Linked DNA regions of Tamandua tetradactyla. The protein of the gene in region 2 interacts with the protein of the main gene of each other region in a pairwise test. Links are inferred from orthologs where the notes say so. Each region holds a gene or a part of one and is shown on either strand. Other genes may lie near its edges. The genes, in order: L3MBTL2, BEND7, LYAR and NKAPD1.

The links.
Region 1: the proteins of BEND7 (region 2) and L3MBTL2 interact in binary tests that used the Homo sapiens proteins (3 or more experiments, as listed by UniProt). The two-hybrid records come from large-scale screens. The link is inferred for Tamandua tetradactyla from reciprocal best matches to the Homo sapiens genes BEND7 and L3MBTL2.
Region 3: the proteins of BEND7 (region 2) and LYAR interact in binary tests that used the Homo sapiens proteins (3 or more experiments, as listed by UniProt). The two-hybrid records come from large-scale screens. The link is inferred for Tamandua tetradactyla from reciprocal best matches to the Homo sapiens genes BEND7 and LYAR.
Region 4: the proteins of BEND7 (region 2) and NKAPD1 interact in binary tests that used the Homo sapiens proteins (3 or more experiments, as listed by UniProt). The two-hybrid records come from large-scale screens. The link is inferred for Tamandua tetradactyla from reciprocal best matches to the Homo sapiens genes BEND7 and NKAPD1.

What each region holds. Positions count from the first base shown.
Region 1 is NC_135333.1:34,374,947-34,382,777, reverse strand, and holds the start of L3MBTL2 (lethal(3)malignant brain tumor-like protein 2), read right to left. Parts: upstream 3,096-7,831; 5' UTR 2,038-3,095; coding exon 2,002-2,037; intron 1-2,001. UniProt on the Homo sapiens protein: Putative Polycomb group (PcG) protein. PcG proteins maintain the transcriptionally repressive state of genes, probably via a modification of chromatin, rendering it heritably changed in its expressibility.
Region 2 is NC_135333.1:49,223,745-49,231,510, reverse strand, and holds the start of BEND7 (BEN domain-containing protein 7), read right to left. Parts: upstream 3,172-7,766; 5' UTR 3,105-3,171; coding exon 3,044-3,104; intron 906-3,043; coding exon 822-905; intron 1-821.
Region 3 is NC_135345.1:8,749,116-8,756,735, reverse strand, and holds the start of LYAR (cell growth-regulating nucleolar protein), read right to left. Parts: upstream 3,207-7,620; 5' UTR 3,030-3,206; intron 3,024-3,029; exon of another isoform or gene 1,098-3,023; intron 1-1,097. UniProt on the Homo sapiens protein: Plays a role in the maintenance of the appropriate processing of 47S/45S pre-rRNA to 32S/30S pre-rRNAs and their subsequent processing to produce 18S and 28S rRNAs. Also acts at the level of transcription regulation.
Region 4 is NC_135334.1:29,178,820-29,185,900, forward strand, and holds the start of NKAPD1 (uncharacterized protein NKAPD1), read right to left. Parts: upstream 3,176-7,081; 5' UTR 2,911-3,175; intron 2,905-2,910; exon of another isoform or gene 2,353-2,904; intron 1,724-2,352; 5' UTR 1,716-1,723; coding exon 1,647-1,715; intron 1-1,646. Other genes in the region: PIH1D2 (PIH1 domain-containing protein 2), read left to right, coding at 4,259-4,435, 5,788-5,911, 6,305-6,550, 6,895-7,081.

The DNA.
Region 1 (7,831 bases), about 15 Mb from region 2:
GGGTTGGGAGGATGAATCAGATAGAGATACGGGATTTAGGGAGTAAGACTGAGAACAGCTCCAGCTAGCCTGAGACTGTGATGTGAAACATTTGAAGGTTGTAAGCAGGGGAGTTCATTGATTTGATGTATGTTTTAGTGTGGAGAATGGATTGGAGGAGGATCAAAAGAAGTAGCCGGACCTGTTAGAAGCTCTCGTGCATTCCAGGTGAAGGATGGTGGTAGCTTGGTCTAGGGCAGAGACAGAGAGGGCATGCAGAAAAGCAGAAGAATGTTAAAAAATATTTTGGAGGTACCCCGCTGCCCTCCAAAGGGTGCCGGTTGTCAACCTGCACCCCTGCCAGGTGCAGCAAGAGCCGATCAGCCCTGAGGTGGCCTCCACGCAGGACTAAAGGCTCTCAGCAATCCTCATCTTCCTGGCATCTCTGCAGTGCCTGGCGGCAGCCACAAAATAAAATACATGTCGTGAAAGAGGGAGGTGGGCTGGTGTCCCAGCCCCTCCTTCCTGGACCCTGGGGCTCCTGCCCCGAAGTCTGGAGCCACTTGGAGGGAAGTGGGACCAGGTGGCTCTCCACGACTGTACACAGTAAACGCAGCCCCTCCCAGGGGCTGAGAACAGGGCATGCAGTAGGAGACGCCTCCACCCCACTTCTTGAATTTGGAAGAATGAGCCCTTCCAGAGTGATGCTGGCGACGGGGCTGGGCACTGGCTCAGCCCCGTGGGTGTGTTTTGTTCCTTATTATTTTTAAACCCTTAGAGAGCAATATCAGGAGCGCTGTTAATACGTCTGCCACCAGCAGGAAGATCAAGTTTCTTTAGAAAACCTTGTACTAAGTCTGCCCCTCTGGAAAATTCACAGCGGATGTTAGCAGGGCAGGCCTTGTGGCAGGGAATCCGGCTCCACTTGGTTTAGTGCTTCCAGACTTTATTTAGAGCTATGTGGTGTGGATGTCTGTGCATGTTGCCCCTCCCCTCCCCCACCCCATACCAGTTAACTGAAGACAGCCAGTGTAGAGAATGTTCTGGAAATGATTAAAATAATAATAATATATCATTCCCGGGAACAGGGGGAGCTCCTTTTTGACTGGATTGTTTCCTACCCATCCTCCTACTCCCCCTCCCTGCCCACCCCAGCCCGCCATGCTGAATGCTCCCAGGCCTCTTTGCTGGCTGGACCCCTCCCCAAATCTGGGACAAGGGTAGAGTTGCCAGATTTCACAACACAACAAGGCAAAAAGAAAACAAAACAGGGTGCTGAATTGTTTGGAATGTCAGGTAATAATTTTTTAGTATAAGTATGTGCCAGATATTTGCATAGGACATGCTTATACTAGAAAATTATTGTCTAATCTGAAGTTCAAATTTAACTCAGCATCCTGTAGCCTTACCTGAGGGAATCGAGTAGAAGCTTGGGTGGGAGCACCAGGGTTGCCTGACAGTTTCTGACAGGCTGAGCCCCTTCCTCCTGTCTCCATGTAGCTGATGGGGTGGGTGGTGGGTGGTGGCAGACAGAACTTAGTAAAACAAGGAGGATTCCCGCTGGCTGGTGAGGTAGCTGCTCTAACCTCCCAGTTTTTGCCAGATCCCGACTCTAAGAGACACTTAGTTCCCGGTTCAGGTGCCCTCTTGGTGCTCCAATTTCCAGCAGCTCACTCCCAAGGTGGGGAGGAATTGGAAGGGGCTTGGCAACCCCACCCAGCTGCCCTTGAAACCCATCCAGACAGTGGTCAGTTCCAGATTCTTAACTGTATTTTTTTCATGATATTGTTAAAACAGAGAGAAAACATTTAAAAAGCCCTTTAGCAAAAAAAAAAAAAAATATATAGGAGGTAATAATTAAATGTATGTAGTGGGTTTGGAAGTGGGGGTGGGGCAGAATATGTGAGGATTGAGGCCTGGACAACCGGGTGGATGGCAGCACCATATTCTGTAACGGTGAAAACTGGACAGGGATGGATGACTTTGGGTAGTTGAATGGAATGAACTAAGAGTTCCACTTACTTTGAGATGCTTGTGAGACAGTGAAGAAGAGGACATGAAGGCAGTTGGAGTTAGGTGGAAAGCACAGAACTGGTGATCTAAATCCTGCAACTTCTGGCATCCTCTCTTAAGATGAAATTAGAGTCCCTAAATCCATCTTCTCTGTGATTTATTATTTTTCACATCTCAATGTACATATCACCAACAGTATAAGAAAATAGAAACCTGAACTTTCCAGTTTCACAGCATTTCAGCAGGAGTCGGAAACACCAGACTACGGGGGAGGGAAAAAGGGCAGAGAGGGAGCCCTGGTGACAGTAACAGCTAGCATGAATGGAAATGGCCGTTAATTAGGAATTCAGTTGAAACAGCCTATTAAACACAGGTTGCTAAGCAACACTGGCCACCCCGGAACAGTGTGGCTGTTCCTTCTGTGGCAGAGCTCCTGGGCCTGGGTCTCTTTCTGTAGCATAGGTAGCATTTTGGCTAGTCTGAGCCATCTTTCTATACATGGACCTCATGTGAGTCATTGTCCCTCTCTCTCTCTAGGATCATAAATCTCTTGCTCTCTACTGGATCATTTCCCAAAACGACACAAATGTGCTCTAGTCACCCATACTACACAAATACATCTCTTGGATTCACTGCCTTTGTCCCCTGCCATATGCCATTTCTCCACTCCACCACTGCCCAACCTTTTGAAGGTTTGTCTACACATGCAATTTCTATTTCTTCTCTTGGCTTTCCATCTGTCCCTACACTCCACCAAAATTGCTTTTGTCAAGTTCACTTACTGCCTCTCTGACCTGAAATTCAATGACCACTTCCCTCTTTTGCATTTCACACAACTACCTACTTTATCCTTTCCGAAACACTGGCTTTTCTTGAGTCCCTCTTGGCTTTCCTCCTGTCTCTCTCCTTTGCAGGCCCTCACTGTTCAAAGTCATCAGCAAATCCATTTAATTCTCCAAAATCTACCCCAAATATTTCCACTTTTTTCTATCTCCACTGCCACAACTTAAATCCAGTCCACATCTTCTCTCCTCTGGATAGCACGGAAGCCTCCTAGCTGCTCTCGCCTATTATCCGAGCCCATTAATTCTCTACACAAGTCTTTAAAAAAAAAAGATTGCACCTATGATTTGCAGATGGGTGCTCGCTTCCACATTATCCGCTTCTGTGTGGTCTTCCAACAATTATTACAGTCTTTGGGGAGTGGTGTGACCCAAGTTGAGGCCAGATATTTAGAAAGGGCCAGGGTAAGAGTTCTTCATTGAAATATTTACTGCACGGCCACTGCTGCTGGACGCTGTGGCTACAAAAGTGAACAGGAGGACCCCACGGTTCCAGCCTTCACGGAGCTTCCGTTCCCAAACCATCCTCAGAGAGAAAGACCAACGCTTCCAAGCCCCGACCGCGGGCTAGGCTGGGCACTAACCGCCTTGGCGCCCGGCCCGCCTCCCGTGCACCGGTGACTCGACACAGGAGTCAGGTCGCCTCATCTGCACAACGGGGCTGCCAACCGGCTCTCCGCCGCCCCGCGCGTCTGGGATGCCTCTCGCCCCTCCCCCACACCCGCCCAACTCCCGGCCTGGGCAAGGGGGCGGTGCCGGCGGTCACGTGGCCCGGCGGGCGCGCTCGGATTCCGAGCGCCAACCGCCGGCGGCCCCGCCCCGCCCCCGTGCCCGCCTTCGGCGCGAGGCTGCTCGGCGCCCTCAGCCTGGGAGGCTGCAGCCGGCTGCCCATGCGCTCCCGGCCGGACCGGGGAGGAATGAGGCGCGGGCTCGCCGGGACTGCTGGACAGCCGGGGTCCAGTTTGGGGCGGTCAGTGATGGCAGTATACGGGAGGCGCTGGGGGGCGTAGGGGCCGCCCCGAGATTCTGGAGAACCACTGGAGTGGGGGCTGTCAGGGTTAGGACTCCCGCCGTGGGGTTGCCCCCCAGAGAGGGGGGAGGGGCGGCGAGCCCCTCCTTTGTCTTAGTTATACTGAGGTAAGGGGGCTGTGCTTGGCCAGAGCAATTCGCACTGTGCCTGACACAGAGCGAGCCCTCGAAAACTGCTGGTCTTGATTGCAACCACAGTGCGGTGAGAAAAGAGAAGAGGGAGTGACAACGGGGGCTGACAGGAGGTAACTGCCATTATTAAGCACCTCAGCTGGCCAGGTGCGGGCACCTCCCCTTCCTTCCCCAGGTGGCTAGGCGAGGCACCCGGGACAAGCATCTGCCCTGGGAGTGTGTAATTAAGAGGCAGAGCTGGGGTACGAACTTGGGACCTTTCACTCCTGACCCACTGCCCTAGGCTAAGGAAAAGGAATGCTTGGACCACGCTTTGAAAATTGGGTAGGGTTTTGATGGGTGGAGACCACTGAGTGAGCTGTGCCCTAATTAGCTGTAAAACCTCGGGAAGATCTTTAGAGCCATGCTTGGCTCTGTAAAAATGGCTGGACCTAGGAAAACTGATAACTAATATGTAAGTAGTGCTTTGCAATTTTTAAAGCACTTTCAATCACGTCATATGTAATTCTCACAACTCGCCCAGTAAGCGTTTTTATTAGCCCCATTTTACAGATGAAGAAATTGTCTTAGAGAAGTTTAGATAAGGGAGTAATGACAGAGATTTCCTATTGATTAAGTCAAATGGGTTTCCCCATACCAAGTTACCATGGATGAGAATACAGTTCTCTCTCCCAAACTCTTAACATGTTGTGCTTTCATTATCTGAGCACGAACCTACTAAATTTAAGACATTACTGTTGTTGGAGTTTCTTGCCCCTTCCCAACCACCAACTACCATATCCCAGCGACCAAGGTGGTGGTGAACAGCAGTTTTAATTTATTTTATTGGGCTGGTTTGGGCTGCCCCAAGTATGAAGAGCACTTGAGGCAAAGTGAAAACTGGAAAGTAATTGGGTGGGTTTGACTGAATTCTGAAAAGTTCAACCAGGTTGAATAATTCTCTAGCCAATTATTTTGAGGGCATTTGGTGATAATTGATCATTTTCTGTCCTTCCTGTTGACAGGTGTACCTCCTAGCAAATTATTGGAAGGAACATGAGAAATGTAAGTAGGGATTTTGAAGTAGCAGTTAAGAGAACCAAAATTGTTTACTTATAGAATAATGGCAGTTAATTTGGTGATATCATTTACCTATCAAACGGCAGGTACTTATCAAATGCCCACTTTTGAGGAGTGTATTTGTTAATGTGTGCAGAGAGGTTCTCCACAGGTGACAGTTGCCATCAGCGCTGACAAAGGTGCTATTTTTTTGGTTAACCTTTCCCAGAGGTCTGTGATATGTGCCAGGTGCCCGGCTAAGTGTTTTCACTTATTCTGTAACCTCATTTATCCTCACAACTATCTTAAAAGCCCTGAGCCGTTCTTACACTTTTTAGAAGGTAGGAAACAAGTCTCTAAGCATGAAGTAAACCAGTTCTGAAGGGGCAGACAAAAACTTAGCTTTTCACAGTGTGATCCGGGTTCAGGGTCAACAAATATTTAATGAACTTCACCTTGTACCAGGCACGTTTGAATATTTTATTTAATCCTCACAACAAACCCCCCCTCCCAATGCCTTTTGCTCATTTGAGCTGATCACCTCGAAATCAGCTAACAGGCATTTTTTTTTTTTTAACTAGCACATTCCTCATATGGAGCAAGTAGAGCCTCCGTCCCTGAATATAATGTTGTGCTGTGAGAAAAACAGCAATTCCTTTAATAAAATCCTGACATCTCAAAAACAGCAGTACAAAACAAAAATGTGGACCTTAGGCAGCAGATTGAGTTTCAAGGGCATTTTCTTCTGATGATTACAATTAAATCTGAAAACACCACTGGTTTCCCATGACAGACGCCCACAACTCTGATTCACTAGACTAATCACTCATCTGAAACTTGGATCAATTAGGTGTAACTTTTAAAAAATCTGGGGGAAGTCCAGCAGGGTTAGTGGGAAACTGGTTTGTAGATTTGTTATAAAAGTCCTCAGATGCTTTTTTCACTTTTTTTTTTTTCATGGGCAGGCACTGACAATTGAACTCGGGTCTCTGGCATGGCAGGTGAGAACTCTGCCTGCTGAGCCAATGTGGCCCGCCCCCTCAGATGCTTTTATATCCTGAATCAGGAAATGGTGACAGAGGTAGCCTTCCCTCTTAACCCCCTCCAACCAATCTCCGCAACTCAAAGTGATATTTTTTTTAACGATGATTTTTTTGGGGGTGGTGGGGGTGGTGGTGTTTAAAACCATTTAGTGGAAAAGGCAAATTTATAGAGACAAAAAGCAGATGAGTGGTTGCCTGGAGCTGGAGGTGCAAACATTGAATGCAGATAGGCATGAGGGAACTTTTTCAGATGATGGAAATCTAAATCTGGATGTGGTGTTGCTTATACAACTCTAAATTTACTAAAAATCACAAATTGTGCACATAAATCAGATACATTTTATGCTATATAAATTCACTTCAATAAAACTGTTTAACAAACAAAACCCTTCTTGGCTCCCCATCGCTTACCCTTTAGATGCTCAGAGGCTGTCTACCCCTCTAGCCTCTCCTGATGTGCCCAGTGTGTAGCTTGAATTGGAGTGATTGGGAGCTGGCTGCAGGTGCTCTGATAAAGGCTCTGTCATCTCAGTGCCTTTGCACATGCTGTCCCTCTGCCTAGGCTCTCCTTCCTGTTGTCTGCTAGGGGACACTTACTCTCTTTCTTCAAGATTCAGCTGGAGCATCTGCTCTACCAGTAAGCTTTCCCTGACTTTTCCAAATAAAGCCAAGTGACAATGCTGTTATTTTTAATGTACATATCTGGTACCCTCACCAAACTGAGCCCTCTAATCCTGATTTTTTCCTCTAGACCTCAGCAGGTCTCATGCCTAGAATGTTTGTTGAATAACTACATGTGCTGTCAGTATCCCCTTTCCATAGTACTTTTTTATGGGGAGTGCCCCTTCCTTCCTCCCTCCTTACCTTCCATTTGTTCCAGAGTGCTGAGGATTACTGTGGATACAAAAAATGAAAAATGCAAGACACTAATCCTCAAGGAACTCCCTATCTAGCGCAGGAGATAAGTAGTGTCAAGAAGGTGATTGATTATATGTCCTCACCTTCCTCTCTCCTAACCATCATCTCTGACAGGGTACTTATTCTTATGTAGGTTGGGGATGGTAGTGAAACCTACCTGATAGATGTCCTGTAAGAGTTAGATGGGTTGTAACAGAAAGAAATGTGTGCTGGCACTGCAGTGCACCTGGGTGTTAGGGCAAAGGTTCAGGAGATGCCTGGAGAAGCCACCACCTGAGCTGAGTTGTGAAGAATGAGTAGAAATTAATTTAACCTTCTTCAGTTTACCCCGATGGATAAGTGATGATTTGAATACATTGCCAAAGATTGTCACCCTTGTTGTTGATTAGGAGAAATACAAGGGCAGACATGCTTAAATTAGCTGCGCACTCAGACACAAAGATGAAGGAATATTACTTGTTGGTGATACTAATTTCTGTGGTTTGCCCCAGCCTCAATTTCCTACGAAATACTGCGTAAAGAATGGTTGCAAACCAGAGGTTCTTGGGCTGAATTCAGATTGCCTGAGTATTTTTTTGGGCCTATGCAGAATTTATAAAGTTTTTTTTTTTTCACTATAAAAGTTGCTGTTTATTTTCAATTTTTTTTGCTTGTCTCCTCTTAGCCCTTTAGGAGTCCACAGATGCACACCAGCCTGCAAACCCCACTCTGAGCACCACTGTGTTAGACCCTGTCCCATCCTGCTTATCCAGGGACATGGCTAGAGCTATTGCACAGCGCCACCCCACCAACCCTGCATCAGAATTTATCCCTCTATTAGATGATACCCATCAGCAC
Region 2 (7,766 bases):
CACAGGTAAGATCCCAAAACCTACACCTAGAAAGAGTGGAAACATTTCTGGCCACCTACCTATTCATCATGCAGCTACACTTGTTCAAAGGACTCAGATGCTGATTTTGCTCTGCTTTTTCCCTGAGGTGAACTGGGAATGAGGAAGGTAGGAAAAAGCATGTCTGTTTTCTCAGTCCAAAAAGTTGATGTGAAATGAACACAAAGCCAGAAGAATGAGGTAGAGCTACTTGGTGATACCTAGGACCATCAAGAGGTGGTTAAGCCGGCAATCACACTTTTATTTTCCCTATGCTCTCTGACTGTAGATTTAATTTAATTTTGTCATGGCAGGATTAGCAAGCAGGCCACAGAGGTGAAGGGACATTATAATAAGACAGAACATTAATCCTCTAACCCACCCAAGGCAGAAGCAAAACCAAACAAATAGCAGCTTCCTGGAAATTGAATTTCTGTTATCCAGATGTCAAAGATGTAATACCCCAATTACACAAACTATTGCCAGTGAAGCATGCCAGCGAATATGCAATGTAAATGGGGTGAGCGCAGAGCCATGAAACTGCACACTCAGCATCTGGCTCTGAGAGTGAGTGATAATTAGCACTGTGTGTAGACACTAATAAACATTTATGTCTGAAATTACAACTTTTAGCAATGTTAATAAGGGATATATTGGCAATCTGTAAAATAAAAGGTCTTGAAAAGAATGTCATACATTCAGCAATAGCAGACATTTCCCGTTCCAGCACAATCTTTTTTTCCCCCTCTAATTGCAAATGGCCACACTGCTTTGCTGTGAAATTAACTGACATGAAAACCTACCTAAAAAAATGGGTTGTGTCTCTTTGGCCTCCCCATTAACATCGCTGCTGAATTCTGAGATCTTATACACCTCATGGTGATAATCTGGGATGAGAAAACAACCAAAAATTAGAATTCTAATGACTTGCAAGATATTAAATAAGCACTAAAGGCTAGACTCTCATCATATCTAGACTATCATAATCTCTGTTTTAATTTATATAATTTTCAAGAACTAGTTAACCACGGAAGTTGACAAAAGTCAATAACAATCTCTAAAAAACTTTGCCTATTCTGATGAAAGTACACAAAGTTGAAACATTACTTTTAGAAAACAGCTTTGCTTGATCACTGTTTACACAGTAAAATTTGCCCACAAATGTTAATTACTAGACTTCTTTTCTTTCGTTTGAGAAATATGTTTATAAAGAAAAGAAAAATCTTGCCCATTCATTGGCCCAGGAGGTTTCCAAACTTATCTCCACAACCCATCTTTTAGGTGTAGCAACAGTATTGCTTCAGGGTTGCCTGACACTGTTTTCTCAGTTTATCTGAAAAATCGCAGTCTTTAAGCAGCTTAAAGGCAAGTACACGTGACAAGTACGGATTTGTTATTTCAAATCTAGCATAATTTGGATAAGAAAGCAAGATTTTCATCTTTCACACAAGTGAATCTTTCCCATTCAGCTTCTGCACTTTAATATGTTTATTTTCTAAAAATGTACCTGCAGAGCAAAGAATCAGGCCCATAAGTTAAAAAAAGAAAGAAAAGAAAAACTAGCTCTGTCAAACTTCAAAATACATATTTTACAAGCCTCTCTGCAGAGGCTCCTGAGCTTTGGCAGTCTTCTATTTCTAAAAAATAGGGTCATTTAGCTATGAGAATATAGGTGCCGCCTTAACAGCTATTTCCTTTTTTTTTTTTGGCCTTAATCCTCCCAGGCCAATTTCTACAGAACTACTGTCACCTTTAAGATAAGGCAATATCTGAGGTCACAAATAAAGCAGCCCACATGCCTGAATGAATCAGATCACTCCAAGAGGCTAGTGGTGTATGGAGAGACTTTTAAAGTTCAAGTCACTGAGTATTCCACACTGCTGGGGGAAAAAAATTACACAGAAAGAGGAAAGAGCCAAATATTTTCAATAGGTAAAACCATGTTAGGCCTTTTCATTATGCAGTATCGGAACAAAATTGAGGGAAAACAAACATGAGTAGATCTTTGAAATGTCTATCATCAAACCATTTCTAAACAAAGTGAAAGCAGGCTTCGTGGAATCTCTACTACTGTTAGCTTAGTTTGAGAAACTCTATGACTTGCAACAGTCCTCTAATTTTCCCCCCTTCCGAGGTTGCTAACACAGGTTTGGTTTGCTCTGTACTCGGATGCCATTGCTAGATAAGACACCAGAGGGAAAGTAGACACGTCTGAGGCTTTGTTTTGACCTCAAGCTGATGCAAAGAAGACACTGAAATAGGATGGTTCTGAACATACTGGAACCTGTGGACACTACAATGAAAAAAGTCAACTGCGTCTCGCCGAAGAAGAGACGAGGCATTTCCACGGATATATTTTTAAGCCTGTTCTTACGCTTCGTCCTCATCATTTTTTTAAAAAGTCCCATCAAGAAAATAAACACTCTAACAAGTAGGTGAACAGACAGAGACAAGGCTCTATTCCACTTCGCCCTCCTCTAATAAAAGAGCTCAAGCCCAAAGGCTGCGGTGTACACCTGTTAAGTCGCCAGGGACTAGATGGATCTTATTTATTTATTTTATTATTATTTTTTTTACGATACTTGTCTGACCGGTAAGTGATCTGTTCGAGAACACCTTTCCAATCCAAGTCACAGAGCTGGGAAAGATGTAGGATGGCCACAATTCGTAGTCGGGCTGTGCTGCTTCCGCTGCCTCCAGTACCTTTCCCGTCGCCTCCGGGAGGACGACCGCACCCCGAGGGCACCGCGGGGTCCCCGGCCCAGGCTTTGTCTGCCCCCGGCGCTGCCCTCGGGCCTGTTTACGGTTCGCATACCTGCACCCCACCCGCCAACTTTGCCCGCGGCCCCCGCCCCCAGCCGCAGCCCGGGAGGGAGTTTGGGGGTCCGCGGGGTGAGGCCTCCGAGGGAGCCCGGGGCCCAGGGTTGTCCGCGTCGCCCCGGGTCCCCAGATCCCGGACCCCGGTCCGGACCCTCCCGAAACGCTTCACCCCAGCCGGGTCCCGACCCCGGCGCGGCCCCCTCACCTCGGCTCCCCAGTTTGAAGCTCTGCGATTTCCTGCTTCTCCTCCTCTCGGAGAACTCCATGGTGCCGGCGGGCGGCGCGGGTCCGCGGGGAGAGGAAAGGCGCGCGGCCGGCCCGAGCGGCGTCGGCCCTCGTCGCGGCGGGAGGCAGCTGCCTGGGGAGAGGCGCCGTCCTCCTCCTCGCCGCCCCCGGCTCCCGAGCACGCCCGGCCCCGTCCAATTTCTCCTTTTTCAAAGCGGATCCGAAGCGGAACTTTCCGCGGCGGCCGCGCTGGGGCGGGCGGAGGGCGCCGGCGGCTCAGGGCGCTCGCTGGGCGCAGCCTCCGGACTGACGCGGCGGCGGCGGCGGCGGCGGCCGGGGGAGGGAGGGGAGGCGGCCCCGGGGACGCGGCGGCCGGGGAGGCGGCGCTGAGGGGACGCGGCGGGCGGCCGAGCGGCGGGCCGAGGGGAGGAGGGCGGCGGCGGGTGCGGGCCCCGGGAGGAGGGGCGCGGCGGGAGGCGGTGCCGCGGTCCCCGGGGCCACCTGCTGGCGGCCGCCCTCTCGACCGCCGGGCCCGGGCCCGCACCCGCCGGCCTGGCCGCCGAGGCGGAGGCGGAGGCCGCGGCGCTCCCCGGGGACGGCGGCCTGTGCGGACCGCCCCTGAACGCGGGCCCCGGGCCTGGGTCAGCTCTGCAGTCCACCGCCCCCGGGCCGGCCTGGTGGTCACGACGCCCCCAGGGCCGAGAACCCTTCTGGAATGGAGCGGGCCCCGCACACGTTGCTGGGCAAGTTTTAGGAAAAACTTCCCAATGTGCGCTGTGCAAGAAAACTAAAAGAGCGTTTGGAACGTATTGAGGAGAAGCGGATAGGCGGGAGTGGGCTCCGATTCTGTATCCGGTACAAGAAGGGGTGTGGAAGCCACGGGGCTGGATGCGGGGAGGGAACTTGCCCTGCCGGCCGTAGAGGGAGGAGGAGGTGAGGAAGGGTCAGGGCAGGTGCAGGAGATCTGCCACTAGGTTTGAGGACCTCCAGGCGATTGGCGTAAATAGAAACCTTTCATTAATTTTATATGAACTTCTCTTGGGAGCTAAGAGCCCCTGCAGGCTCCATTTCTTTCTCACAACATCTTTAGAGAGGGAATGAGAGAGAATTTCACACCCCCGGCAATGCTATCCGAACATGCTCACAAGTAACTCTCCCCCCCCACCAAAGACCACTTCTGGATGAAAATATAAAGGAAGTAAAGAGGTAGGCCACCTAACAACAAATTTGAATTTGTGGCAAATTCCCGTGGCCCTAAAGGGACAGGGTATGTTGATAAATGTGGTAAGTTCCATGATGAATCCCACCAAAATGAGACCACTGCTCAAGGACCTCTCTTATTAACCACTGGGTTAATAAGAGACAACTGCCAAGGAAAGGAAAAGTTGGAGGCTAGCACAAACATACAAGCACCAAGAAACAAAACCGAGGATCAAGGTAACCAACCAATAAACCAGTGGAAGGAGGCTGGGGCCCAAATCATGAGGTATTAGTTGGTGCGGAGGCTGGTGTACCTGGCCTGGAAGAGAGGGAATAGGCTGTCAGTTGCCAAAGCAAACCCTTAAATGAGGTTCTTAGCCTTTTTGATCACTGTCTGTGGAGTTGATATTCAAAGCTGTGGGCCCTTTCCCCAGAACATGTATAGAAGACCAAGGAAATTTTGTGTAGGTTTTTTTGAGTTTAGACCCCTGGGAGCCCTAAAAGGTGGAGAAAGGATTAAAGTGATGAAATCAACTATCCTTTTTGGTTCTCTCCCATTTGTTTTCTCTTGCTTTAAAACCAAGTAATGAAAATCTGACTGTGTTTTGAATGTTTCTTTAAGGGAAAATGCATACTGTTCTGTTCCCCTGGCTGGGATCCTTTCTTTCCTTTCTGCCATGCCTTTAAAAATGTTATCCTCAAAGAATGCATGGAAGTGATGGTAACTAATTAGTGGAATTATAAGTAACATTGCCATATTGAAGGTGAATATGAGTGAAAGGGATGTATAGTGCCGTGCATCCCACTGATGAACTCTACAATTATAAATAAGTTCTCAGATGAACTATTTCAAAGGTTTGATATTGTACAGAGTCAATAATAGAGGGATATGGGGGAAAACTAAAATTGCATGCTATGGCCAATAGTTAACAGGAAGACATCAGCTGTACCACAGCACTACCAGGGGCAACTAATTAGAGGGAGGAAAGGATAAGCGATAACGGGTAGTTTTGATTTGATATTTGGTTGAGGCTGTGTTTGTCAGTTATCTCTATGGACCAAAGAAAACTCTAAAATTGAGAGTGCTGTTGATTGTATAACCAAGTCAGGATACCGTAAGATGTGGTTTGCTTATTTTGGACATTATCCATGATGCCTAATAGATGGAGGAAGCCAAAGGGTACGATGACTGAGAAGCAGAATGGCAAACTGATACATACATGTGATGGAATATGATGCGGCTACAAAAAAGGAATGATGTCGTAAGGCATGCAATGAACTGAATAAACCTTGGGGACAATGTGTTGTGCAAAATAAGCCAGAAACAAAAGAACAAATATGCTATGGTCTCTTTCAGAAAATACTTATAAGAAATTTGGAGCCTAGATTGTAAGACCTTATAGGAACCACACCTAGTCTGAAATTGTGAGTGTATTTCTAGATTCTGAGACATTGAGCCATATGAAACTGATATTTCCCTGGAACTTTGAGTAACTCTGTGAAACGTAAGACTCAGAAATGGAGTTCTGCAGCCCTGAATGTTAGCACAGCTACATACAATAACAGTTAAAGTAAGCAAAAAAGAGATCAACCTTCCATTAGAGATAAAGACAAAGGCTTATAGCCAGGACTAAGGTGAATCAGAATACAGGGTAATAGATGATAGTGTATATACTCTAGACCTTTACCTGCTATGTAAGACCAAAGGCAGAGAGGTTTATTGTGTCTTTTTTTTTTTTTTTCTTTTTTTCTTTACATGGGCAGGCACCAGGAATCGAACCCGGGTCCTCGGGCTTGGCAGGCAAGCATTCTTACCTGCTGAACCACCATGGCCCACCTGTTTATTGTGTCTTGAATCTTAATCTTGAGAGCACCTAAGGCTCGGACTGGGGCTCAATAAAAGTTTCATGAACTAAGTTTCCTTTCCTGTTACCTATAATTTCCCGGGGGTTCCTGGGCCAGATCAGTCCTGAGGCCCAGAGGGACCAGCCTTTCTAAGATTATCAACCAGTTACATTCCCCTATCCTTTAGTGTGGACACCCCTTCTCAACGTGGGAAAGTCGGAACGGGCATTGTCCAAGGATCCCTGTAGATTAGGAGGGAGGTGGGGGAGAGAGAGGAGTTATAACAGAGGGAATAGGATTTGGTAAATGAGTATGACTGCTAAATCATTGTTTTGATGTTTCTTTTGGCCTCCATTATTTTGGAGCAGTTAAAGGGAAAGACTTGAAATAGTGGAATGGTAACCTATGAAATCTAATTTAACAAGTGACTACTTGTAATAGTGTACTTTGAAAATTATTGCTTTTTCTTTCTTTCCTTTGTATAGATGTTATATTTCACAATACAAACTGTAAAAAAAAAAGTTATCCTCAAAGCCACAGGGCCAAGTACTATACTGATTGAGGAACAGTGAGGACTTTCATGCTTTTGAACATAAAATGAGAGTTTATTAGCCTAAATCCATGATGAAATCATTGAAGGTGTCATACCAGGAAACAAATCCCTGGAGAAGATATTAACAACTTAACATATTCAGTTCAAGTGGGAAGATGAATTCCATGTAATGAACAGACTAGTTTGGATAAAGGTAATAAAATATTTGTAAAAAATGATATTTTGAAACAATAGTCATTTTCCCTGGACCCTTTTATCTGGTTCTCCAAAGATGGTCTGCAGAGCCCAGTCGTTCAGGGATTGTCCTATTTACAGAGAGAAAATCAACAGCGATTTATTTACTCTCTACTTTGTGCAAATCACACAAACATCACTTTATATAACATCAATGTATATATACACAAATTGTATGAAGTAAAGATGAATTATGATATTTAATAAATATGAGATTGCATGAAGTGGTAGGTAAGGTTTTTTTTTAATACAGCTTTTGTGTTATGGGCTATCTCGGAAGGTCCTGTCGGAGATCCACTTAGGTCATTTTTTTGCCTCAATAATCCAAAGCCCTCAAAAGTTTTAGAATCACAGGTCTATACATTACTCAAGCTCAGTGAAAACTGTTCAGATATTCCATGAGTTCATGAAGGCAGAGCATCTTATTATATGACCATTCTAAAACTTAATCAATTACAAATAGATTAAAGATTAAACGCAGGTTTTAATTTTTGACAAAGACAAGTAATTTGGCTAGAAAACTAAGTAGTCTGGACCCTAAATCTTAAAACTCTCTTTCTGGAAGCTCTGTACTGAAAGAAATGGTATTATGAAAATTTCCATCTTTATTTACCACTCTGCTGTTCAAAAGAAATGCACGGTAAGTCATATATGTAATTTAAAGTTTTCTACTAGTGATAATAGAAAAAGGAAAAATAATTCATTTTAATGAATTTTATTTAACCTAGTACACAGAAGTTATTATAGTTTTGATATGTAGTTAATATAAAAATATTAGCAATACTTTCTATTCTTGAGTTTTTTTGTACAAGGTTTTGAAAGCGGTATATATCTTACACTTGGAGGACAAATCAGTTCAGACTAGCTACAT
Region 3 (7,620 bases), on a different chromosome or scaffold from region 2:
CATCTTAACTGAGCAATAAACAGAGTGCCCCAGTTTTAGTGCAGGCTTAATAATAGAAGTATAAATGCTATAAAGTTAAAAAAAAATTTTTGAATGTTCAATCCTTCTAACTAAAGATGATAGCAAACAGTGCCTAAAAAAAAAAATCATTCAAATCCACAAGACTAAATAAATGTGAAGATACTTAAATAATTAAACTTATAAATGCTGCTTCGGGGAAACCTGTAGCATTTATACCTTTGAAGTCAAAACTGTCTTATGACTTTTGAGACACGCTGTATTGTATTCCCAGTCTCGGTCATTACATATCTCAACTTTTAGTGCTAATTGTAGAAAGACAGTTTTTCCAATGGGGCTGGACTCAAATGAGAGTCCCATCCCTTTCCCTTCCAGCTCCCCAACTCGTTGTCATACGTGCCAATCCTAATAAAGCCACAGAAATTCTGTGTACCCTCCCTTTCAGAAATGTGCACATATTAAGAGAGAATGACAGGCAGAGAACATTCTTGAACCAGCTGGCAGCCCATGTGGTTTTCATCCCTATAACTTAATTCAGCAATCATTTACTATGTGCTCAGTGTGCATCAGGTGCTATGCTTGGGTACCAGGCATCCAGATACACCCAAATGCCCCCACTCAGATTAGACCAGGTCCTCTGTACACCCTTCTGGATGACTATTCATTAGACTATTTGATTTCCTGAGCTCCCACAACTGAGAAGGAAATGAGGTGGGGCTGAAAAGAGATGTGCTCAGAGTGTTTCACATTTACAACCACAATTACACCCACCACATCCAAGACAGGTATGATCACACAACTACCACCAGTGAGAGAAAACCAAGGCTCAGAAAGTTTCGTTACCTGAAGTCAGAGAAAGTAGCAGAGGTGGCCTGTAATGCCAGGATACAACCCCAAGCCCCTGCTTCTTCATTTTTTTTTTCTTTTTTATTAGAGAAGTTATAAGTTCACAGAACTACTGCATAAAATAGTTTCCATATAGCGCCCTATTGTTAACACCTAGCATTCGTGTGATACATGTTACAATTCATGAAAATGCCTTTCTATAACTGTACTATTAACTATAGTCCATCACTTACAAAACGGCTCACTATGTTGCAACTGCCTGTCCATAATGACTTGTCATATCCTTGGCCATGTGCTTGGCTGTCACTCGGCTTGGGAACCTTCAGTTGCTCATCCAAAAAAAATCAAGGGCTCTAGAAGATGACCCTCCACTAAAAATTTTGAGGACCCTAAATCTTAATTCTAAAGACAACCACCCTGGGAAAGGAGGCCGACCATCCGTGTCACAGCTAAGGATGTAGGGTATTGGATAGCGATGCTGAACTAGTTGAGGGGCAGCAGCTAGCAAGAGGCTGGGAACTCAGGAAGGACTGTAGGCACTTTTATCCCCTCTCACCAAGATGGAGGCCACATTTGGGGCCAGGGAATCTGAGCTGGAGCCTGCATCTGCCAATTAAAACCCCAATGACCTTCAGCAACCTTAACTTCCCCAAATCTGATTCTTTTATCTGTAAAATGGGTCTAATATCTATTTTAGAGCACTATGTGGAGAGTTAAGTAAAATATCAGATGTGAAAGCTTCATCCTTATCCAACAATAGAAATGTTTCTCTGTGATTTATTTATCAATTTGCACATCAACACTATTGTACCCAGTCACCTCCCAAACCCATGCTCCTTTAAATAGGACCCTCAATCAACCTATCCAACTTTAAAAATTCACTCCAGAGGCAGTCTTATTCCTGTCTCCTCTGGCTCCTGACTCCACAGGCACCTACCAGACTGTTCCCTGTGAATATGACATTGGTTTGGTTCTGGTGATTGGGATTCACATTGATTTTTTTTTTTTTAATTTTTCTCCTTCCTCATTTTTGTATTGCTTAATTTTTTAATGAAAATAATTTTTAAAAAACATTATTTTTAAAACAGTCACACACACACAGACCCAAACTAGATCAGCACCCCTAAACAGGACACTTGGTCCTGTCAGCCAAGCAGTTCCCAGTCACCATCAACTCTGATCTTGAGTTCTCCCATCAGTGAGAAAAGGGCTCAAATCAATTACGCCAGCCCCAAGCCTCTTCCAAGGGTAAAATTCCACGACACCTAGAGCATGTGACTCATGGGAAGGTCAGACAAGTACACACTGTTACCACCCTGCCTAAACCCTAGCGTGTGCAGGTGAGGTCGGTCACAACGTGCACTCACACAGGACTTCCCCCTTGAACCATGCAAAGGACATTTATCTCCACATAACAGACGGGCAAACTGAGAAACAAAGTAATTAAGCCATGTGTCTCCACCTCCAAGTTCCAGCATCCTCCTCATTATATCACCTGCATTACTGGCATCCCGTCATCTCATATTATGTTATTACATGTTACTGTCATGTTATTCATAACCGTCTGGGGAAGTCTGTCATGTGCCCGGCACTGTGCTATACAGGTGGGGAAGACAGGCTTGCAACGGCACACCCCATCTCATTCCTCAGGGGTAGGCGCCGCAGAAAAATGCCTGACTCTTATATGCCTGTCACCCTCACAGGTGGTTAACGTGTCTGTGCCCATTTAACCCTCACCACGGTCCAGTGCGTTAGGTTCTGTACCGTTCCCTTTTGGCACATGAGGAAGGTAAAGTAATTTGGTCACACACACACAAAATGAATCCGGTCCTAAGCTCGTGCTCTAACCACAATGCCTGAGGCCTCCTCCTTGGGGACCGAGCTCCCCGAGACTCCGAAGAGCACCGCCCCCAACATGCAGCAAGCCCGAAGCCCGCCTTAAGCGGGATCCAGCTGCCCTGGGATGCCCAGGACTGAGGGGGTTCCCGGGACGCAGGACTTTCAGTTTTAAAACGGGGACTGAATAGGTCGCCCTAGGTCCAGGTCTCCTTCCACTTTTCCCCAGTCCGAATAAGATGTGAATGAATTTCCTTCTCCTTCCCAGGGTGGAAGCCAAAAGAGGGAATGCAGCCATCAGCCACACCGCCCGACCCTTCTTCACTCACTGCTCCTCTACTTCCTCCGTCGGGCCTGTGTGTCACCGCCCCTCACCTCTCAGCAGCCACCCGCCAACGATTTCAACCGGCCACGGAGAACACGTGCAATCGCTGCCGCCCGCCGCGCGCAGCCGTCACCGCCCTCCAGGGCTTCCCCGCGCAGAAATCGCGCTGGAGCCGGCCCGCGCGCCTGCGCACCACGGCCAAAATCCCTGCGGAAGTGACGCTACCGGAAGTCGGAGGGCGGTTCCGGCAGGTCAAGGGGGCGTTGTCGGGTGGTTCTGCTGCCGGCCAAGCCGGCGTTAAGGTGGTGGTGTCGGCAGGTGGAGAGGCTGCGGCGGGTCAGGGAGCGGCCTCCGGGGTAAGGTGGTCATAGGGCCTGGAGGCCGGCCTCCTAGAGGGCGCGCGGTCGGGTGGGAGAGGGAACCGTCAAGGAGGGGAGGCCGGGCATCCGAGGGTGGCCCCTGAATCCCGGCGGGGCTCTGCCCTGCCCCCACCCCCTTCTCCCGGGGCACTGCGAGGGTGAGTGGAGAGCTGTCCGCCTCCTGCGTGAGTTCACGAGTGACTGCCCTGTGCCAGACGGAGGGAAAGTTGAAGGAGACGCAAAAGACAGAACCTAGTCCGGGGAACCGGGCCTTCTCCCTCGTGCAGCCCCCTTGGCCTGAAACCCCACACTAGGTCTTTACCCGGCCTCCTCCTGCTCATTCCTCCAGACCGCTCAGCCGTCGCCTGCAGGAAGCCCATCTGACCCGCTCCCGCCCTCCGGCTACCCATTTCTGGATCCCTGTTTCCTTCTCTTACTGTAGTTGGGAGTAGTGCTTACAACAACAGAGTTCATAGTGTTGCGCAGTCTCTCATTACTGTGCAGGCTCTCTGTGCTCTGTTTCAGATCTGTAGAAGGGGGAATACCGGTACCTTAGGGGTGTTCATAAACCCATGCACAGGAAGTTCTCAGCACATGCTTGACTCTTAGTAAGTGCTCAGTAAAGGATAGTTGACGTTCTCAGAGCTCAGGGCAGGATCTGGCATATCGTGGGTGGCTACTAAGTGACTATTGTATGAATGAATGTTGAATAGGGTAGTTGAGTGGAGGTGTGAGACAGCATCCTGAAAAACATTCACTTTAGGGTGAGGGCATACCGGGATCAGCAAGATTTCACTGTAGAAGTGAGAGGTGTTGGGCCTGGAATAGAAGGACTCACTGGGATTTACAAGGAGGGAAATAATTCCCAGCAGAAGTGGGAGAATGGCAGAGGTTGAAAAGCAGGTGCTTGAGGTGTGCTTTTGTGTTCAAGGCACATGTTTACCTTGTTCTTCCTCGTTGTTTTTGAAGTTGAACCCGGGTGCCGGACTGCCATAGGCGATGTTTACCTTGTTCTTGCTCCTACATTTTTTTCATTGGATCCCCCTGAAAACTCAAAACTCAAGTGTCACCACTTGAAAACAGATATTCCTGACCTTCCTGCTACCTTTGCCTCTTGCTTATAATATTCCTCTCTTCCCTCTTTGGCAAACTTTTTAACTTTCAGATTTCCACATAAAGCTCTCTTCCAGAAAGTTTTCCCTGGAGGAAACTGACTTCTACCCTCCCTCCCCCACGTTAATTTTTATTTCAGTGGTTCTACTTACTGCATTTCACATCTCACAGGCACTGCTGTACTTGTCTCTCATATTATCTGATCAGGTTAAATGTTTCAGTAGACAGTAAACCAAAGAAGCAAATCATGTAATTCCGCGTAGTGGTTGGGAGTGTGGGCCTTGGTGTCAGATTGCCTGGGCTCCACCTCAACTCGGCCCCTTATTAGCTGTATGACCCTGGGAAAGTTCCCTAGCCTTTCAGTACCTGGTCAGGTTGTGTGCAATTTAGAACAATTTTATCTCACAATTTTGTGGGTCAGGAATTCCGGCAGGGCTCAGCTGGGCAATTCTTGAGCTTTGTGAGGTGTGGACTGGTGTCACTCATGGTATTCAGCTGGAGACAGGGCTGGTCTAGAGGACTTAGGATGGCTTCACTCACATCCCTGGTGCCTTTAAAGGTACGACTGGAAGATTGGGCTTAACTAGGCTTAACTCCCAGAAGGAGCGTTCCAAGAGATGGGGAGTAGAAGCTGTTAGCTTTAAGCTTGGAACCAGAAATGAGCACAGTCTTACTTTTTCTGTGTTCTGTTGGTAAGAAAGTCAGAGCTTGCTCAGATTCAAGGGGAAATTCAACCACACCTCCTTGTGGGAAGAGTGTCAAAAAATTTGTGGCCGTCTTTAATCTGTCAAGTGTCTCACTGTCCTCATCTGTAAAATTAGAATAATAATAGTACCGGTCTTATAATTATTATAAGAATTTAATATAATAATCATAATATTTATAAAGTGTATTTAATATAATCATAATATTTATAAAATGTCATTTTATAAATATTTTATAAATACTTGTCATTATTTTATAAATTTTTAAATAAAATTTTTGTCATTATTTTATAAATATTTGTCATTATTATTACTGTTACTTGGTACAGGGTGCATTATTGTTTATGGTTTTTATTTACAGGATACATACAGATACAAAATTCTCTTTTCCAGAGTTTTTCTCATCTTTCTGGGGTGGTACAGGATTGCCATTATGAAACAATTAGAGAACTATACAAATTAGTATAGAATGGTTATAATTTATAGTAAAAGTAAATTTTGGAACACAGAACTTGTGTCATCATAACTCTGAGAGCCATCCAAGGAATTTTTTTTCTTTATCACTTCTATAGAACAAGAAAATGTCTAATACAGATCCAGAATATTTACTGTATTTTATCATTTAAGTCTATGGACAAAGGTCATTTAAAAACTTTTTTCCTGTGGGAGGGAGCATAACATGGACTCGAGAATTAAAGAGCCAGAATTCATATCCTGGCTCTGTCACTTACCAGTTATATTATCATGAGCAAGTTCTTATATGATCATGAGCAAGTTATCAAACTCCCCGTTTCTCAATTTCCTCATCTATAAAATGGTGATTATCAGGTTCTTGCAGAATTTTTTGTAAACAGATATAATATTGTTTAGCAGAGTGCCTGGCCTATTAAAAGTAGTCAGTAAATGACAACTACTAATAATAACAGTTAACCAAAAAGCCTTTTCTTTTCAGGCAACCAATGTGATAGGGGAAGGGAACTGGTTACTTAATCATTTGGTTGTTCAGTTCCTTTGAGGATTCTATGCTTAGCCCATTACCCCACCACCTAATAATGTGTTCCCCTGTATATATTCTTGTTTGGGCAACATTATCTTCTCCAGGTATAGAATTAAGGAATGAGATGGTGGGGTGAGTTTTGGAGATTCTAACCTGAGGGGATCATACAGTTGAAGGTGTTTAGTAGAGAGTCAGAGATTTGGAAGTGGTGGTCAAAGGTAAAATTTCAAATTTAGGCATTGTCTAAATTCCTTCTGTGAACATTTATTACCTGTTCTGTGCCAGCAAAGACAGATGAGATGGTACCCTCAAAGAGTTCACAGGTTTTGGAAATGTAAGTAACTGAACACTATAATAAGTTCTCTTACTGAAGTAGTTTGGGGTGTTGTTAGAGTACAGGGGAGGGTCCCCAGTCAGACCTGGGAATGGAGAGTGGAGAAGAGGGAGCATATCAAGAACATCGAGAAACTAGACAGCTGCTCAGCTGAGTATTGATGTGGAGTGAGCATTATTTGGAAGGTGGAAGGGTCAGATCTGAATAAATTATTTCCAGCATAGAAAGCATCAGAAGTGAAGGCTTTTGGAAGAGAGCAAGGCAGAGGTCAGCAGTCCACCTGCTTCAGAATGACCTGGCTGCTTATAATGCAGATATCCAGGCTCCAGTGTACAGTGGCTGAACAAAACTGTAATGGCATGCAAGAAACTACTTTTTAACAAATTTCCCAGGTGATTCTTTCAGCTAACCTTTACTGAATACTTGTATGCCAGATGCTGTTCTAGAGGATGACATGGGTTAGCACAATTACCTCCATTAACCTGTGAGATAGGATGAGGAAGTCTTTTGCCCAAAGTCATATGGCTAATGAGTGGTGTAGCTAGGGTTTCAGCCCACTGGCCAAGAACATAGCCTTTTGGAAAGCCAAAGGTAGTTCATTTTGGCTGGTTTCAAAATGGAAGTAATAAAGAAAAGACTGGGAGAGAAGTATGAGCCATGTTAAAACGCTTGGAATTTGGCTTCATGGATTTTTTCAGTGATGCTTTTTCGGTAATGCTTAGGCACTCAGAGTGAAAGCAGAGAAAGCGGATGATGGCTTTTTAGGTTTTTAGGGTAGCAAACTGCCATTTTAACCTCCACAGAGAGGTTAAATGAGCCTGACTTCATTCCTCCCTGCCATTCTTCTGCCATAAATCATCCCTACTAGCCTAAGCTCCTGGGTTTCAGAGACCATGCCTTACTCACCTGTGTATTCCAGTGTCTAGCTGAAACGGTTTTGTTTAACTGTGTGTGTATATATATTTTTTTGTTCTCCTCATTAGAACTTAAAAAGCTTCATGAGGGTGGGGCCTTTGCATATTTTATTATTCTTGGAGCCCTAGAACTTGCCACACAGTAGGAAGTCATTAAACATGTTGAATGATGAG
Region 4 (7,081 bases), on a different chromosome or scaffold from region 2:
ATTTTGTAAAAACTGTGCTAGATCCCCTTTGAAATGTAAGCTTACCCTATAAGTAGCGACAGATTAGCACAATTGGAGATGCTGCTTGGGTAACAGTTATATCCTCACACTACTCAAATTATCAGGTAATATAATAGTAATAACATTTATGATCAAACCAAGAGTAATACAATTCACTGAAATCAAACAAGGATCCTTGGTTCTCTTTTCAGTATACAAGCTTTCCGTAGGTGACCTTATCTACTCTCATGACTTCTAACATTTACCTACATCAATAATTTCCTATCCTTTATGTTCAGCTCCAAGTTTTCTCCTTTCTGCCAAATCTGAATTTCCAACTATTTTTGGATCTTCTATAAGCACCTCACAATCAACATGTTCAAAGTCAAACTAACTACCCACTTCATACCTGTCCCTTTTCTTCTGTTCCCTATCTTAATCAATAGCATCATCAATGAGTAAGAAAATAGAGACAAAACATAAATAAATAATAAGGGATTGGGGAGATGGGATGCCTTGGGCGTTCTTTTTTACTTTTATTTTTATTCTTATTTTTACTTTTTTTGGAGTAATGAAAATGTCCAAAAATCCACTGTAATGAAGGTACAGCTGTACGACGAAACGGTGAGCCACTGATTGTACACTTTGGACGATTATATGGCATGTGAATATATAATATATCTCAAAAAATTGCATTAAAAAAATAGTGGGGTTACAAGGGTAGTTTAGAGGTAGAATTTTTGCCTGCCATGTGGGAAACCCAGGTTCATTTCCCGGGCAGTGCACTCCTCACCCCCCCTCAGAAAAATTCAATAAATGGTGCTGTAATAATGGGATATTTGTGTGGAAAAAAAATGAAATGTGACCCTCACCATACAGCAAACAAACAAACAAAAAATAGCATCATTATCCACCTAGATACACAAGCTGGCCATTCTTTTTACTATTATCCAATCAGTCACCAGGTTCTTTGGATTTTATTTCCTAAATTCCTCTTCTTCAACCCACTGTCACAGCTTTCTTTTGAGCCCTCATCATCTCTCACCTGGAACTGCAACTGACTCCTAATTTGTCTCACTACTGTTTCTACCCATCTGATCTATCCCTACCCAGCTGACAAATCACCTTTCAAAAATACAAATATGATTATGTCATGCCCTGCTTAAAACATCTGATGCTTCTTTATTGCCTAGAGGAAAACACCTAAAATTTCCCAAGCATCACACAGAAGTTTCTTCAAAATCTGATTCTTCAAAATCTAACTGACCACTCAGACCTCATCTCTGTAATTTTCTACAGGTTAGACACATTCAATTTCATTCGGGCACATAATAGTTCCCTCTGTCCAGGAGGATCCTTTACCTGGTAAAACTTGTACCCATTTACCAAGACCTAGTTCACTTTTCAACAACTCAAAAACTACCCCTTCTGTGAAATCCTTTCTAATTCCTAAAAGCAGATTTCATTATTCATCACTCCTTCCTCAGTACCCTAAAGCACTTTGCATATGACTCTATTATAGTATATATCAAAATGTACTGTAATTATCTAATTCATCTTTGTACTCCCCAATTGTGCCAAAATACTGCTTGGCACATTGTATGCCTTCAGTAAGTGTTAAGGAATGGCTGGGTTGTCCCTCCCACCTTATTGTGAGCATCTGTGTGCCGGATGACATTCCTCAGGAGGACCTTCCCCAAAGGAACCCGGGACATTCTTCAATCTGAAATGAATCAATAAATAACATTTAATAACGATTTCTATTACCTTATTTTTTATTACAATTAAATAAAGAAGCATGAGGTAAGGTAAAATCACTGAACTATGAGTCAGATGCCCTGAGGAAGAGTTTTCCTTCACAAATAAAAGGGAAAAATGCCTGACAACACTAGTGTGAGGATGAAAGGAGATAGTGTTCCTTAAAGTTCTTTGAAATTGCTCAAGATGACATGAGCACCATTTCATTCATCCTCACAATAACTATGTGTTTTATATGAGGCAAGTTATCTTCATCCCTATTTTACAGATCAACTTTCCTGAAAGCCCTAACTTGTCGGCCAGAGAGTCTCAGGCAAGCAACGTATATATAAAGATCCAAATTAGAAAATTCTTGATTCCCAAAATTAATTTGCAATGAAGCAAATATCTAAATTTAAAAGTGTCAGTGACTACAAGTGTCAACAAATATAAAAACTGACTCTTGGAAACATCAGATGCAGAGATACCCTAAATTTCTTCCTTCAGAGAAATTTTATTTCCTATTTTGTGCAAAAGCTTCCAACTTCTAGAGGACAAAGATATTAACGTGTTAGCTAGCAGGGGCTTTGTGCAACCACCCCATAGCTCACTCACCCCTCGATCCTGAGGAAATCAGGCATCTTGTTAGTGTGAGACGAAGAACCACTCCATTACAAGATCTCCTCCGACCCAGGAAGCCAAGGAGTCAGGGCTCAAAGGCAGCTCTGCAGCTTCACCCGAGTCCTTCGTGAAAACGCAGCCTTCCCACCGGTTATTATGCCCTCACCCGTGGCCCAGGCATGGCTGCCTTTCCCCCAGCCCAGACCGACAGGCAGTTCTCCCGAAGCGAGGCCGGAGCTTGCGCTGGAGCGGAATCTGGACGGCCCGGTCGGCTTTCCCCGCTCAGGCTCCGCTGGGATGGACCCGGGGACTGAGTTTTGCTCCCCAGATAAGGACGGGGACGTTCTGGATAAGTATGACTTTTCGGCTGGGCCCCGGGAAGTATCTAGAGGGCCTGACGGGGAGGTTGAGGTCTCCAAGAGGAAGACAGAGAAAATACCCCCATCTTTATCACCGGTATCCCCGCCACCCAGCGGCCAACGGCCTCGGAGCTCCCGGTAACCTCCCCTCCAAACGCCCTCCCCACACAAATACACACAAACACACCCATACCGTGCGCCGCAGCCTCGCGTGGCGGGGGTGGGGGGAGGAAGCGATCTGGGAGAAAAAGGAGGAGGCTTCCCTTTCAGGCCGGAAGTCGTGCTCCTGAGAAATTCTTCCCACCAATGGTTGGCACAGAGTGTGTCACAGATAGAATTTACAGGATACTCCAGAGGTCGATGGATGCAAGTGGGAGGCTGGCGCTTTTCTGGAAGAGAAGTGGGTCAGACCCGGCAGAAAAGTGAACCCACGACCGGAAGAGTGAGATTCCGGAACTGGAAGTAAGGAGAACTTTCTGACTGGTGCTTCCCGGACCCAATTAAGCGTTGCGCCCAGCCTGGTTACCCTGGTAACAGGCGCCGCGCTGTGTGTCAAGGATCCGAGGGAAGTGGATTCACCGGCCTCTGGAATGATTGCCCAAAGTTAAGTTTCCTATTTAGCCTTATCTCATACAGTATTCGAAGCCTCAGTCGGTGGTATGGGACTCCTCTCCAGTGGACGCGGAGGGAAGGAAATAGGGTAGGAGTGGGGGACGTGATATTCCAAGATCTAGAAAGGGTATTTTTACTTTCATTTAGCGTTTACCAAGTGTAAATCTATATATATATATTAGTTTACTCAATCCTGCAAGTAACTCCTTGAGATAGGCATTTTATTATCGTCTTCATTTTGAGAATCACCTAATATATATTATTAACAAAATATATATATATATTTTATATAATAATATATATATATATTAATATATATATAATATATATTATATATATATTATATATATATATTATATATATAATATATATTATATATATAATATATATATTATATATATAATATATATTATATATATAATATATATATATATAATGTGTGTGTGTGTGTAACTGCTCAAGGTCATCCATCTAGTGATAGAGCTAAGATTAGAAGCTTAACCTTCTGGCTCCAGATTCCATGCTTTTATCTACTAAGCTATACCGAAGTTTCCAATGGACCTCACCCCACACGCACCTCTGCCAACTCCAGGACTGGGGAGCCGGCAATTAAGGATACACAGGTGTTGGAACAGGAAGAGAGCCAGAAACCCAAACTGAAAGTGTCTCCTCTCCCATCTCTAGGCTTGTGAGATTCCAAATAGGGGTAAGGCCTTATCTTTGATGACTTGAGAATTAGGAAGGGGTGCTGAATAGGAAATAAGGAAAAGATAGCAGCGCTAAGCCACAATCTTTGAGACACAGATGTTAAGGTAGCTGATACCTGTCCTCCCTCCCCCCAAAGTAGAAATGACTTACCCACGCAGATTTTTTCCCCCTTAACTCGTGTCTTTCCACAGGTTTAAGAGACCTGTTCACCATCATTAATCATGGACGCATCCTCAAAGGGTCTGTTTACCCAAATTACTCAATTCTGGAACCTTCTAGATGATCTGGCTGAAAGTGACCCTGAGCGCTATGACAAGTTCATTAAATGGCAGCTGAAAGAGGGGAAACAGTTCTGTGCTGCCCCAGAACCACAGCTGTGTCTACAGACGAAGATCCTGGTGTGTAGAGTTGGTGTCATGGCTGGGAAAGTGCTGAACAAAATGATTCTGGAATAACCAGAGGATAGCATACCCTTAGCTATTGCCACATAAACACAAGAAAATTGAAGAGAAACTGCCATTCTAGAAAATGAAAAGTAGTGTGGAAGATTGTGTTGAGAAGTAAGAGTGGTATTCATACTTGTTATATTTTGGAGATGTCAAATGAGGTCTAGAATGAAAAGAGAAAGTAATGTAATAATTTAAAGGAGAATCATGGAATTGGAGCTTTTTCAAATAAAGATAACTGTTTAGTTGGTGCAGTTAAGAAGTGATGTGATAGGGTCAAGTGAAATAATCTACAATTATTAGATTAGATCAATTCCCTCCTCCCTCACCACATCTCCACCCGAGTTCCTTTCTGGGTTCAGTTACTGGATTCTTAGTGAAAAGACAGCAGCTTTTGGGAAATCAAGAAAGCAAGAGTGTAATTTATCAAAAAACTTTAACCATGTGGATTAAAAATAAATAATAGGGGGAACAAATGTTAAATTGAGTAGATTGAAATACTAGTGATCAATGAAAGGGAATGGTAAGGAGTATAGAAAAAAATAGGGGAAACAAAGGCTAAAATATATTGGGTAGATGGAAGTACTAGCACTCAATGAGAGGGAGGAGTAAGAGGTATGTATGAGTTTTTTATTTCTTTTTCTGAATTGATGCAAATGTTCTAAGAAATCATGGTGATGAATATACAACTATGTGATATTGTGAGTTATTGATTATATACCAAAAATGGGAATGTTTGTGTTTGTATGTTATGTTTAAAAAAATTTTTTTTAATTAAAAAAAAACAGTTTTAACATCTTGTGTCTGATACTCATTTTATCTACAGTATGGACAGATGAGCAAAAAATATGGATAAGAAATAAATAATAGGGGAACAAAAGTTAAAATAAATTGAGTAGATTGAAATACTAGCAGTCAATGAGAGGGAGGGGTAAGGGGTATGGCATGCATGACTTTTTTCTTTTTTCTCTTGTTGGAGAGATGCAGATGTTCAAAAAGATGATCATTGCCATGCCAGAGGACCCAGGTTCAATTCCCGGTGTCTGCCCATGTTTAAAAAAAAAAAAGATGATCATGGTGATGAATACATAACTATGTGATGATATTGTGAGCCACTGATTGTAACCACGTCAAGAACATTTGTGTGTTTGTTATTTATAAACAAACAAAGCAATTAACATGTGAAATGACTAACCTGGAGACTAAAATTCTACCTCTTACAATTCTGTGATGAGCTGCCTTTAGGATATTATTTTAAAATAACAAACTACATTTTGAAATATGCAAAATTATTTGCTTTCTAGAAACCAAGAGAAAAAATACTTTTTATCAACCTATGCCAGTGGAAAAGAATTCCAGCTCCCCAATCAAACACTCATCCAGTACCTTTAAGTATCGGCAGGCCAGAAGATATGTCTGAGACATCAGGTAGGCAGAATTATGGGAGAGGAAGCACATTTGAAAAATCTTTTTGGCAAAACAATGGGCCAGATTTTGATAAAAGACACTTCAAGTTAAAATATTTTATTTGGTGATAATGTAGTTTATGACATATTAGTATACCTTTATGCAAATTGAATGCCTTTTTGTTAAGTTTTTCTAGCAATATGACAAGTTTTTAACCCATGTAAAAATGCCAAGAGATGCCCTAATTGGAATATAATGTATATAGAACCATTGTGATTGCCTTTGAAAAAATACAGGAATGGAATTTACTTTCTAGTTTTATCAAGATTATGATTTAATATATTACCTGATAATATCATTAATGAAAACAGGTCAAGTTGTCTTCATTTCACACCCTCCAAATTAAACACACAGATGTTTTCACAGTCATCGATGTTGCCTACAATCCTGATGTTCTCCAGGCAGCAGAAAAGGACCAGAAGAAAAGGGACCAGCTGATACAAATGGCTATGAAATGCATTGAGGAACGACTCCAAATCACTCTCTCCCACATCTACCATATTACTAAGTTTAGAATAAAAGGAAGCATTCAAAGGATGAAACAAAATCTGATGGGAATACAAACTGACTTTCCAGATTTAAGACAGAAAATGAGGAAGGGTAAGTTGAATGTAAATGCAAAAGTAAACTGTTTAAGATATTTTTGCATCCTGTGTACCTTTGCAAGTAAGAAGAGTCTTGATTTTAAAGGATAAGAAACTCAAGATAGAAAAATATAAAGATTTAGATATTTGAAATATCAGAATATCCTAAAATATTTTGGATCTTCCTGCAAACTTTTAAACAAACTTCTTGGTTTAAGATTTTTTTTGGCTTAAGATCCAAAACTAATTTAGCTTCATCTTTATCTGCTATCTTGGCTAACCTTACATATACCACAGTCTGATATTGCTTATGCTATTGACTAATTTTGTGATTTTCTCTTTTTTTTTTTCCCCACAAAGAAATAGGTCTTGAACAGATAGGTAATAGTACTATGAGCAATCCAGATCACTTTCCTCAACTTTTACTGACAAAGGACCAAGTTTCAGACAAAACAGGGTGTCTGATACAGGAGATTTCCAGCACTGAGATCCAGAAAGAGATGAAGATTCCAACCTATGAATTAAAAATTGTGAAGGATCAGAATGA